Linked DNA regions of Macaca mulatta. The protein of the gene in region 1 interacts with the protein of each later gene in a biochemical or structural test. Links are inferred from orthologs where the notes say so. Each region holds a gene or a part of one and is shown in the gene's direction. Other genes may lie near its edges.

Region 1 (3,646 bases):
GGCTGAGGCGGGTGGATAACCTGAGGTCAGGAGTTCAAGACTAGCCTGGCCAACATGGTGAAACCCTATCTCTACTAAAAATACAAAAATTAGTTGGGTGTGGTGGCTCACGCCTGTAATCCCAGCTACTTGGGGGGCTGAGGCAGGAGAATCACTTGAATCCAGGAGGCAGAGGTTGCAGTGAGCTGAGATCGTGCCATTGCACTCCAGCCTGGGCAACAAGAGTGAAACTCTGTCTCAAAAAAAACAAAACAAAGCAAAAAAACAAAAAAAAGAGATATTCTGGGTGTGTAAGTTTCCTAGGGCTGCGGTAGCAAAGTAACACAAACTAGCACGTTTAAAACAGTTTTTAAAATTTATTCTCATAGTTCTGGAGGCCTAAGTCAGAAATCAAGATGTCAACAGGGTTGGTTCCTTTTAAGAGGCTCCAAGGAAGAATCTGTTTCACACCTTTCCCTGCTTCTGGTGGGTGCAGGAATCCTCGGTGCTCCCTGTTTGTACATGCAGCACAGCAGTCTCTGCCTATGTTCCCTTCTCTGTGTCTAAATCTCCTTCTTATAAGGAGACAGTCACTGGATTAGGAATTAGGGCCCACCCTAATCCAATGTGGCCTTATCTTTTTGTACGTGTGTGAGAGACAGTGTCTCACTACATCACCCAAGCTGGAGTGCAGTGGCACGATCTTGGCTCACTGCAACCTCTGCCTCCTGGGTTCAAGCAATCTTCCCACCTCAGCCTCCCAAGTAGCTGAGACTACAGGCACCCACCACCATGTCTGGCTGATTTTTGTATTTTTTGTAGAGATGGGGTTTCGAAATGTTGCCCAGGCTAGTCTTGAACTCCTGGGCTTATGCGATCTGCCCACCTTGGCCTCCCAAGTTCTGGGATTACAGGCGTGAGCAACTGCGCCTGGCCAGCGTGACCTCATCTTAATGAAATTTTATCTGCAAATGTCCTGTGTCCAAATAAGGTCACATTCTCATATTCCAGTTAGACATGAATTTTGAGGAAGAAGGGAGAACACTATTCAACCAGTACACTAGATAGCTCTGGTTTACTAGAATTGTGAAGTCTTTATAAGGAACTTATTCATTAAGGCACCAGTTAGTCCTAAAAACCCACAGCCCCAGAACTAGGAAAGCCAAGGGGGTCTCATCCTGTGCCCAACATCTTGGTCCTTTGAAGGTTCCACTTCTGCCGCATGAGCTGGGCTGAAGCAAACACCCAGTGCCAGACATAGTCTGTACCTTTCTGGTGGAGGATTGATCATCTACTAATAAGGCAGGATCTGTCTGTTAAAATCTTTCATGTATTGGCTTACTGAAATACAATCCTGACTTACTGCTTGTTCATTATCATTGAATACTAGCCAGGAGCTAATAAATATGCTAGGGTGGCCACTTACCATTATAAGAAAACACTAGACATTTTATTTTCCAGTTATAATTGCTACCTATAAAATAAGTATCTTATAAACTATTCAGGTTCATTACTAAACAATGATGGTACAAGAAAGCCTGTAGGCTTCAATAATGAGGAAAGCAAAAGGGTAAATACCTTGTAATAAAGGCGAAAGAGTCAGAATAGCTTTTTGGATTAGATCCAATTTTGGCCAAACCGAAAGCTTTAGATAAACACTTTTAGGGTAGAGAGTCCACGAGAAGGAGGATAAGGTAGATGGTAATACTGAGTAATTTCTGTTTCTATGCCATTTTTATTTTGAGAATTTTAATTTTCTAATTAAATTTTCAAGTCAACATGTTTTGTATTAAAATTATTTTCCTTTACACCATAGTGTTGAAAGGTTTGCTGACTTCTAAAACATTCCTGTGTTCACCTATTTGGCAAGCATATTCCAAGAGCCTAAATGTCCCAGCCTAAATGTGCCTATCACATACATGTGATAGGCATAGATTAGGAAATAGTAATACCTATCACTCATTGAACACTTAGTGTGTTGCCAAAGATTGGTTTAAGTGCTTCACATAAACTTATTTGTGTAACCCTCGACACCCTCCTATGATGTGGTTACGGATAATTATCTTCAGTCTATGGGCGAGGAAAAAATGTGTAACATGTTTGAAGTTAATGCTGCTCAAAGATGGTGGAATTAAGGCTCCAACACCAATAGCCGGGGTCCTCTGCATGCAAACATTGCACCTCATAACCCTCTGGGTTTATGAAAATAAAAAGGGTACAGACCTGGCCATTAGGGGACTTGAACAGTTTCTAAACAGACAATTATTTTTTGTTTTTATTTTTAGTGTGATGGCATGATCACAGCTCACTGCAGCCTCAACCTCCTGGGCTCAAATGATCCTCTCACCTCAGCCTCTGGAGTAGCTGGGACCACAGGTGCATGCCACCACACCCGGCTAATTTTTAAATATTTTTGGTAGAGAGGGGGTCTTGCTATGTTGCCCAGGCTGGTCTCAAACCCCTGGGCTCAAGTGATCCTCTTCCTGCCTTGGCCTCCTAATGCGCTGGAATTAGAGGCGTGAACCACTGCACCAGGCCAACAGACAATTATGTGTGTTATCCTTTTGGGGTTCCTAAGTCGTAGTGGAGTGAATGCAGCTTTGTGGATGCCCAGGCAATGCTTGAGCTGATTGTTCGTGGATGGGCGTCTGCAGATAGACAAGGGACGGGGTGTAGGGGCACGGCGGAAAGGGGTGAGGGCAGGGCAGCTGGGTGTGTTTGGGGCTTCAGGTCCTTTAGTGTTTGCAGTCTGGTCTGTGATGGCGATGTATTCAGAGACTTTGTATTCCAGAACCAAATGCTTGGCCTTCTTACTGAAGATAATGACTGGGAGAATACTGACCGGTTTTGATTAGGAAAGTCATGAGCCGCTGTGCATTTTGAAAAGCATAATTTCCAAAAGGCAAAGCTTTTTGCTATTGCAACAAAATCTTGATTTTATAGAAAAAAAAAAAAGCAAGATTTACTTAACTGAAATAAACTGAAAGAAAAGTTGATAGAACTTTAAATTGTTAAGGGTGGGAAAGTCAGGGAAGAGCCAGCAGACTTCTGTGTCACAACCTCTTTCCAAGGACTCAACTCATAAACCACGCCGTTAACTGGCTTCACGTTGAAGGGAGGCCTTTGGAATCAAGCCCACTGTGATTCCATATATCAAATGGGAAATTATTTGGGAAAAGGTTTCTAAAGTGTCTCCATTTCCCACCACAGGGTCATGCTCTATCAGATTTCAGAAGAGGTGGGCAGATCAGAATTGAGGTCTTTTAAGTTTCTTCTGCAAGAGGAGATCTCCAAATGCAAACTGGATGATGACATGGTAAGACCTGGTATCTTACTGAGATTTAGTCCTGAGACTTGGTTAGCCAGGGGGCATTTCTGAGACCAAAGAGAGGGGGTATTTTGGTAAAAGCAACCTGGATTCTCACTTTTTGACCAGAAGAAGAAAGTTGTCAGCACGAGTGTTACAGATGTGATTCCTCTATACTGAAGTGCTGCGCATGTTAATTACCGGGAGCAAGGCGGAGTCAGGGGCCGGGAGAAGGAGGCTGGTTGTGCAGATGCAGCCCAGCCTGAGACCCGGCAGAGCTGGGAAAGACAGCGGTGAGTCTGAGGCATTTCCTCCACTTCCGCAGTCCCCGAAACGACCTGGGACCTGGAACTCTGTGTG
Region 2 (4,309 bases), on another chromosome or scaffold:
GCCTCTTCGGGCAGCCCAAGTGGAGAAACTTGGCTCTCCTGTCCTGTCAGTGCCCTGGCTCCTGAGGTCAGGGCCTGGAAGGATTTCGGGCAGAGGGGGCGTCTCTTCCTCTCCACCTTCTTCTCCTCCTCCTCCTCCCCTGGTGGCGCCCCTCCCCGGGGCACCAGGCGCGTCCGTCCGCTCCGCAGCCTGGCTGAAGCGACAGTGACTCCGCCACCGGCCCAGAATCCCCACCCACCCCTCCCCAGGGGCGAGTCGGGGGAAGGGGAGGAGGCGGAGGAGGGGCGAAGGGCGGAGTCCGGGCGCGGGAGCCCCACCCTGTTCTCGCCCCTCGGCGAGGCCCCTCCCCCACCAACCCCGTTCTCGCCCCTCGGCAGGGCCTCTCCGCACCACAGAGACGTGGGACGGCCTCGCGGACTAGATAAGCGGCCCTCGTAGGCCCGCCAAAGCCCCGCCCCGCCCGCGTGCTCGCTCCACCCCTCCCCGCGCGCCCGGAGCCCCAGGCGCCGCTTCCTCTCGCGCTCGGGGCGTCGGCCCTCCGCTCGGGGGCGGGGCGGGAAGCGGCGGTGGGCGGAGCCTCCGGGGCCTCGCGAGGGCTAGTGGGCGGTGCCCGGCGGGCGCTTCCGGTTTCCGGCCGCGGGATGAGGGGCGGGGCCGGGGCTGCTGTGGGAGAGTTCGGCTGCTGCGGCGGGGCCTGCACGCTGACTGTGGGAAACTCGGTGAGCGGGCTCCGCGCGCCAGGCTGAGCTCCGGGACCGCCGAGGCTCCCTGGCCCCTTGACGAGGGAGAGAGGCGAGCGGCGCGGGGAGGCCCGGGGGCCGGGGAATCTCGGGGCCCGCAGCCTACCTGGGTGTGAGGGGCAGGGGAGAGGGGAAAACGGGCGGTGCCTCTAGAAGCTGGGCTCGGGGGCGGGGTGGGGGGCGGTGAAGCCCCACCTGGAGGAGCGGCCTTGCTGGGCCTCGGGGACGGTGTGCCAGGCCGGGGTCATGTCGGCGGGGCCCACGGTGCGCGCAGTCGGCTCTCGCTCTGGGTGGGCGCTATGGCCCTCGAGGGCTACTGGAAGGACCCCTGGCTTTGAGGAGACTGCGTCTAGAACTTTCCCCGTATGGGGCCTTGAGGTGCTTGGTCTAGACCTGCTTTTGCGCTTGGTCCCGAATTCTGCTCTCTAGGAGTCGCTCTTGCGGGCCTCCAGCCCACCGGAGGCGAAGCGGCCCCGGGCGGAAGGCCGCTTGAGCCTCGAGGGAGGTGCCGGTTTCTCTCCGCGGGCGCCGTGGGGACGGTGGGAGGCGGGGGCGTCGGCAGCGCTTGGACTAGATGCGGCCTTGGGCCCGCCTGGTAGCGGGGATTTGGGCCAACAGAGCGCCCGCCTCTGCGGCTGAGTTCTGCCTGGCGGGGAAGGGAGCGTCCAATGGGTGCCGAGGCGTCCTCCTCTTGGCGCTCTGGCACTGCTCTTCCCGAAGAACGCCTTTCAGTTAAATGGGCGTCGGAAATCTCGGGCTCCCTGGGACAGGGATCGTCGGGAGAGGCCGCTCTGGACGTGTTGACACACGTGCTGGAGGGGGGCGGGTAACTGACCAGCGAACGGAAGTTTGTGGGGCCTGTGAACGCTGCTGGCCAAGCGGCCTTGCCTAGTGGAGCCCTGCTTCCGCCAGCGCGTCAGAGACTGTGAAGCAAAGTGCAGGGGGTCGAGTGGAGAGTGGCGGCCCCAGCCTCGCAGGGTAACTGAACTGGATGTTCTTGGCTGCCCAGCGCTTACAAATCCTGTTCCTTCTGTGCCCTGCCAGGAAACAAGCTCACATCTCCCTGTGGGAAACCTTCTAGCAGCAGGATGAGTCTGCAGTGGACTGCAGTTGCCACCTTCCTCTATGCGGAGGTCTTTGTTGTGTTGCTTCTCTGCATTCCCTTCATTTCTCCTAAAAGGTATGGCTTGTGGAGCAAGCAGGCGAGTTAGGCGGGAGGGTCCCTGTGCCCTAGCCCTGGGACTGGTGTGTGCAGCTGGTGGACCCTGGAATTGGAACCCGATGGAACAGGTAGAACCTGTCAGGGGTGGGGGTGGCAGGGGTTGTGTTTGTTATTGCCAACCCTCCCCAGGGTTCTGCTTCGTCATGACTTGCTCAGTTCCTTTTCCTGTGTCCCCTGCCTTCTGGTCTTCAGAATGCCCGCGAGAGGCAGGAAGATCCATGTTACAGTTCTGGAAATGATGCCCTCCCGCCTACTCTTGGCCCCCGGGGTCTTGGGATGGCAGCGTGGGATTCGGAAGACTTGCACCACTGGGTCATGTTGTTGCTGATTTGGTGACTCTTGTCCTAACTAGTCTCACTGGCATTGCGCAGTGGCTGCATGAACATTACTCAGCCTGTGGAGGATGAAGCCATATTCCCTTTTAATGAACAGAGAACCTGTTAAAAGTGAATTGGAAGTTAATTGTTAATTATGTATAATACCTGAACACGTCCCTATTTAAATTCACATATTACAAATAAGGCCAAATCTCCACAGGTATTTTTAAAAACTGTTTTTTCATGAAAAATTATCCCTGATGTGATACCACAGAAAGTATGCAGCGCTGCCTGAGGAGGATTCTTGCAGAAAACCAAACCTTCGTACAGTTGACAAGACATGCAGAGATAGAGGACCCCGGGGAGCTTTAATCTGGGAAGCTTTAGAGGACAGACAATCTGATTTCTACACAAAGCAAATTGGAAAAGCAAATGAAAGAGGGGAGGGAAGGGGGAGCTTCCATAAGAAGAGGGATTTAAGACATTTATCTACCAAATGCCAAATCGGTACCTTGCTGGGTCCAGATTCAAATAAATACTGTTGCCTACCGTGATTGGCATTTTCATCTCTAGCCCTGATGATGAGGGCTTCTTGTTGGTTTGAACAATATGTAAACACTTCTGAAGTCTCTTCTTAGAGCTGCATCCCAAAGCATTTGTGGAGGGAAATGATGTGAGGTCTAGGGTCCATCTCATCATAACCCAGGGTGGGGGGGGATATAGGCAAACCAAGGTTTATCATGTGGAAAGACAGTTTAAAGAAATAACATGTGTATGGGGCAGACATTTTGAATATTACAAAGGGGAGAACAATGAAAAGTAAGTTTCCCTTTTCAGAGACTATCAGTGTGTTTTCTTTTTGTTGCTGTGGTTTGTTTTTTTTTTTTTTTTTTAAATTTTGAGACAGTCTTGCTCTGTCACCCAGGCTGGAGTGCAGTGGTGTGGTCTCGGCTGACAGCAACCTCCACCTACTGGGTTCAAGTGATTCTCCTGCCTCAGCCTCCTGAGTAGCTGGGACTACAGGCGCCTGCCACCATGCGCAGCTAATTTTTTTTATATGTGTGTGTGTGTGTGTGTATATATATATATATATATATATATTTTTTTTTTGTAGAGATGGGGTTTCCAGACGTGAGCCACTGTTCCCAGCCAACTACCCGTGTTTAAGATTAGTTTTCCAGGCCAGGCGCGGTGGCTCACGCCTGTAATCCCAGCACTTTGGGAGGCTGAGGCAGGCGGATCACGAGGTCAGGAGATCGAGACCATTGTGGCTAACACGGTGAAACCCCGTCTCTAATAAAAAATACAAAAAATTAGCCGGGCGTGGTGGCGGGCGCCTGTAGTCCCAGCTACTCGGGAGGCTGAGGCAGGAGAATGGCGTGAACCCGGGAGGCGGAGCTTGCAGTGAGCCGAGATCATGCCACTGCACTCTAGCCTGGGTGACAGAGCGAGACTCTCTCAAAATAAAAAAAAAGATTAGTTTTCTAGACATTTCGATCTCTACGTGGACCAGCACCTTTTTTTTTTTGAGACAGGGTCTCGCTCTGTCGCCCAGACTTGAGTGCAGTGGCGCGATCTCAGCTCACTGCAACTTCTGCTTCCCAGGTTCAAGTGATTCTCCTGTTTCAGCCTCCTGAGTAGCTGGGATTACAGGCACCCACCACCATGCCTGGCTAATTTTTATGCTTTATTTGTAGAGACGGGGTTTTCGCCATGTTGGCCAGGTTGGTCTTGCACTCCTGACCTCAAGTGATCCACCCACCTTGGTCTCCCAAAGTGCTGTGATTACAGGTGTGAGCCACTGCACCTGGCCTTTTTTCCAACACTCTTGAATGGATATCAAATTAGAGAATTGCAAGCCACTGAGGCTGACTTTGTGTGGGCTATTCGGCCATTGGAGAAGAGTGCAAAGCTGGATTTCCATTTTGCTCAGGGCCCTAGAGCCCGTGTGTGTGCTTTCTCTTCAGCTCCCGTCCTTTTTGTCGTCTTCACAGATGGCAGAAGATTTTCAAGTCCCGGCTGGTGGAGTT
Region 3 (3,646 bases), on another chromosome or scaffold:
ATTAACAGGAATTTAGAATTGATTGTGTGATTGGAGATTGTGACCAGAGAGTGGACAGTATTGGATGGTGCTGTCTGGTGGAGCAGTAAGTATGAGTGACTTGAGTGGAGTGAAAGTTGTTGAATTTGAGAATTGATTAATGACTGTGTCATTGTTATTAACCATAGCCCATAATGATGGAGGAACTTTGTGAATCAAGTGCCAAACTATATAATGAATGTGGGGCTGTGATTGGTCATTGATAGGGGATTAGTAAATGACATCCATGAGGGAAGCTTAGAAGTTGGTATTGCCAAGGCCAGGTACAGTGGCTCACGCCTGTAATCCCAGCACTTTGGGAGGCCAAGGCGGGCGGATGACCTGAGGTCAGGAGTTCAAGACCAGCCTGGCCATCATGGTAAAACCCCGTGTCTACTAAAAATACAAAAATTCGCAAGACATGGTGACGCTTGCCTGTAATCCCAGCTATTTGGGAGGCTGAGGCACGAGAATCGCTTGAACCCGGGAGGCAGAGGTTGCAGTGAGCCGAGATTGTGCCACTGCACTCCAGCCTGGGTGACACAGTGAGACTGCATCTCAAAAAAAAAAAAAAAAAGTTGGCATTGCCAAATAGTGTGACGATCAAGGGAGTACAAATGGCACAGAATTACAAGAATGCTTATTGTAGAAACGTAATAAATGTTATTTTAAATCCATGAGTTTTGGTAAATATTGATAAACTTTCTGAGCAGTTATCGTTTCTGGATGTGGTTGGACTGTAGGAAAAATGTGGAGGGATGATTCTGGGCTGCAAAGGCCAAGGATGCTTGTATCTTTGAAATCTGTTTCACAACCATTTATGTAAGGGTTACCAAGTGATTCTGCATGTATTTTCTCATTGGATTCTTAACAACTCTGAGGTATAGATTCATTCATCCCTGTTTACAGATGACAGCACTGAGAATTTGGAGTTAAGTGACTTGCTTACGGTCACATAGCTACACAGCTTTTCAGTGAGAAGAGTCAGAATTTAAACTAGTTCTTTTCTTTTTTTTCGAGATGGGGGTCTCACTCTGTCACCCAGGCTACAGTGCAGGATTATAGCTCACTGCAGCCTTGAACTCCCGGCCTCAAGTGATCCTCCTGCCTCAGCCTCCTGAGTAGCTGGGACTACAGGCGTGTACCACCAAGCCCAGCTAATTTTTTCTTTTTTGTAGGAACTGGGGTCTCCATATGTTGCCCAGGCTGATCTTGAACTCCTGGCCTCAAGCCTTCCTCCCACTTCAGCCTCCTGTGCAGCTGGGACTACAGGCGTGTACCACCAAGCCCAGCTAATTTTTTCTTTTTTGTAGAAACAGGGGTCTCCATATGTTGCCCAGGCTGGTCTTGAATATTTGGGCTCAAGTGATCCTCCTGCCTTGGCCTCCCAAAATGCTGGGATTACAGGTGTGAGCCCCTGTGCCCAGCCAGTGTTTATTTGTAAACAAACACTTTAAAAAATGTGATAAACATGTATAAAGCACTATACTGTGCCAGGCATTATTAGCGACTGGGAATATGGGAATGCCTAAGACTAGTTCCTGCCCTTGAGTATCTCATCGGTTCTTTCCCTGCCCTTTCAGTACAGTGTGGATTGCAGCTGCTGAGCAGGGATTCTGGAAAGCATTGCGTACCTGAGCCCCCAGCATGGCGGGCCTAAAGCGGCGGGCAAGCCAGGTGTGGCCAGAAGAGCATGGTGAGCAGGAACATGGGCTGTACAGCCTGCACCGCATGTTTGACATCGTGGGCACTCATCTGACACACAGAGATGTGCGCGTGCTTTCTTTCCTCTTTGTTGATGTCATTGATGACCACGAGCGTGGACTCATCCGAAATGGACGTGACTTCTTATTGGCACTGGAGCGCCAGGGCCGCTGTGATGAAAGTAACTTTCGCCAGGTGCTGCAGCTGCTGCGCATCATCACTCGCCACGACCTGCTGCCCTATGTCACCCTCAAGAGAAGACGGGCTGGTGAGGATGTATTAGGGGCTAGAATCAGGGAAGAGTTGTGGGAGGCCAGGAAGGAGCAGCATAGGCATCCAAAGGGGAAGACACATTGACCCTGGGGAGTACTTAGAGTAAGTTGTGAGGCCCATTGGGGGTTTGGACTGACAGAAGGGAAGGGTATATATTTTCCTGAATGATTACTTCTCCTCCTACAGTGTGCCCTGATCTTGTAGACAAATATCTGGAGGAGACATCAATTCGCTATGTGACCCCCAGAGCCCTCAGTGATCCAGAACCAAGGCCTCCCCAGCCCCCTAAAACAGGTGAGAAGACATTAACTCCCCCTACTTTCCATCATCAAGTAAAAGGACACTGATCCCATCACATTCTGGGCTTTGCCAGCTTAAATGAAAGGATGCTGTGCCCCACATCTTGTCCCATAAAAAAAAAAAATCAGGTGAGGTGTTGACGTTTCTCCTAGGTCCTGTATTTGCTCTCACATTATGTCTTTTCAAGTCACATTATTTCCACTGCTTTTAGTGCTAAGTCTAAATGATTCCTTCCTCATTCCAAGAGAAGTGTTTGAATTTCTGCCTTTACCCTACTGTGTTTTCTTCCCTTTTACTTTCTGGTCAGTGCCTCCCCACTATCCTGTGGTGTGCTGCCCCACTTCGGGTCCTCAGATGTGTAGCAAGCGGCCAGCCCGAGGGAGAGCCACACTTGGGAGCCAGCGAAAACGCCGGAAGTCAGTGACACCAGATCCCAAGGAAAAGCAGACATGTGGTGAGGAAGTTCAAGGGTTCCAGAGGTGGAGCAGACTTGAAGCAGAATATAAAGAACTGCTGGGACACTAGGCAGTTTATGCTATTCAGTGTGAGATTCACTTTGATTGCCATTGCAAAGTGAGGCTGAATGGTTTGGTGTCTGGTGGAAGAACTGCTCTTTGTGACTGTGGCAGGGTGCATTTCAACTCTTCTTAGTTAATACTACATCACAGGGATGTTGTTATGACATCCTTATTGTAGGATGAACCAAGTCAAGATAGAGTATTAAAATGAACTTCTGTGCCTGGTAATTAGGAAACAATCTCCTATAAGCAAGTTGCTACCTGTGGGTAATGGGAACAGTGCTGACCTGGGCATGTCCAGTTTAAGGGAACCTCCTGCATTCAGGCAAGCGTTTCAGAGATACATAGAAATAGTCCTGGGGAAGAGGTAGAGAAGCTGTCAGGTGATATTCCCTACTTTTTTATTCTGCTGTGCTTTTCAGTTTTCAAGCTTGGGTTGTAAACTCATCCCTCACTGTAACCTCTTCTGCTCTCTATCTTCTGTTTCCAACAGACATCAGACTGCGGGTTCGGGCTGAGTACTGCCAGCATGAGACTGCTCTGCAGGGCAACGTCTTCTCTAACAAGCAGGACCCACTTGAGCGCCAGTTTGAGCGCTTTAACCAGGCTAACACCATCCTCAAGTCCCGGGACCTGGGCTCCATCATCTGTGACATCAAGTTCTCTGAGCTCACCTACCTCGATGCATTCTGGCGCGACTACATCAATGGCTCTTTATTAGAGGCACTTAAAGGTGTCTTCATCACAGACTCCCTCAAGCAAGCTGTGGGCCATGAAGCCATCAAGCTGCTGGTAAATGTAGACGAGGAGGACTATGAGCTGGGCCGACAGAA

The links.
Region 2: of the proteins of CASP8 (region 1) and BCAP31, one has a biochemical effect on the other in vitro, tested with the Homo sapiens proteins (2 studies listed by BioGRID, with this or other methods). The link is inferred for Macaca mulatta from reciprocal best matches to the Homo sapiens genes CASP8 and BCAP31.
Region 3: the proteins of CASP8 (region 1) and DEDD form a complex in vitro, tested with the Homo sapiens proteins (2 studies listed by BioGRID). The link is inferred for Macaca mulatta from reciprocal best matches to the Homo sapiens genes CASP8 and DEDD.

The regions. Positions count from the first base shown.
Region 1 is NC_133417.1:106,382,771-106,386,416, forward strand, and holds part of CASP8 (caspase-8), read left to right. Parts: intron 1-3,189; coding exon 3,190-3,295; intron 3,296-3,646. UniProt on the Homo sapiens protein: Thiol protease that plays a key role in programmed cell death by acting as a molecular switch for apoptosis, necroptosis and pyroptosis, and is required to prevent tissue damage during embryonic development and adulthood.
Region 2 is NC_133426.1:159,960,442-159,964,750, reverse strand, and holds the start of BCAP31 (B-cell receptor-associated protein 31), read left to right. Parts: upstream 1-1,393; 5' UTR 1,394-1,408; coding exon 1,409-1,562; intron 1,563-1,781; coding exon 1,782-1,920; intron 1,921-4,273; coding exon 4,274-4,309. UniProt on the Homo sapiens protein: Functions as a chaperone protein. Is one of the most abundant endoplasmic reticulum (ER) proteins.
Region 3 is NC_133406.1:105,757,060-105,760,705, forward strand, and holds part of DEDD (death effector domain-containing protein), read left to right. Parts: intron 1-1,021; exon of another isoform or gene 1,022-1,601; 5' UTR 1,602-1,665; coding exon 1,666-1,990; intron 1,991-2,181; coding exon 2,182-2,289; intron 2,290-2,602; coding exon 2,603-2,749; intron 2,750-3,306; coding exon 3,307-3,646. UniProt on the Homo sapiens protein: A scaffold protein that directs CASP3 to certain substrates and facilitates their ordered degradation during apoptosis. May also play a role in mediating CASP3 cleavage of KRT18. Regulates degradation of intermediate filaments during apoptosis.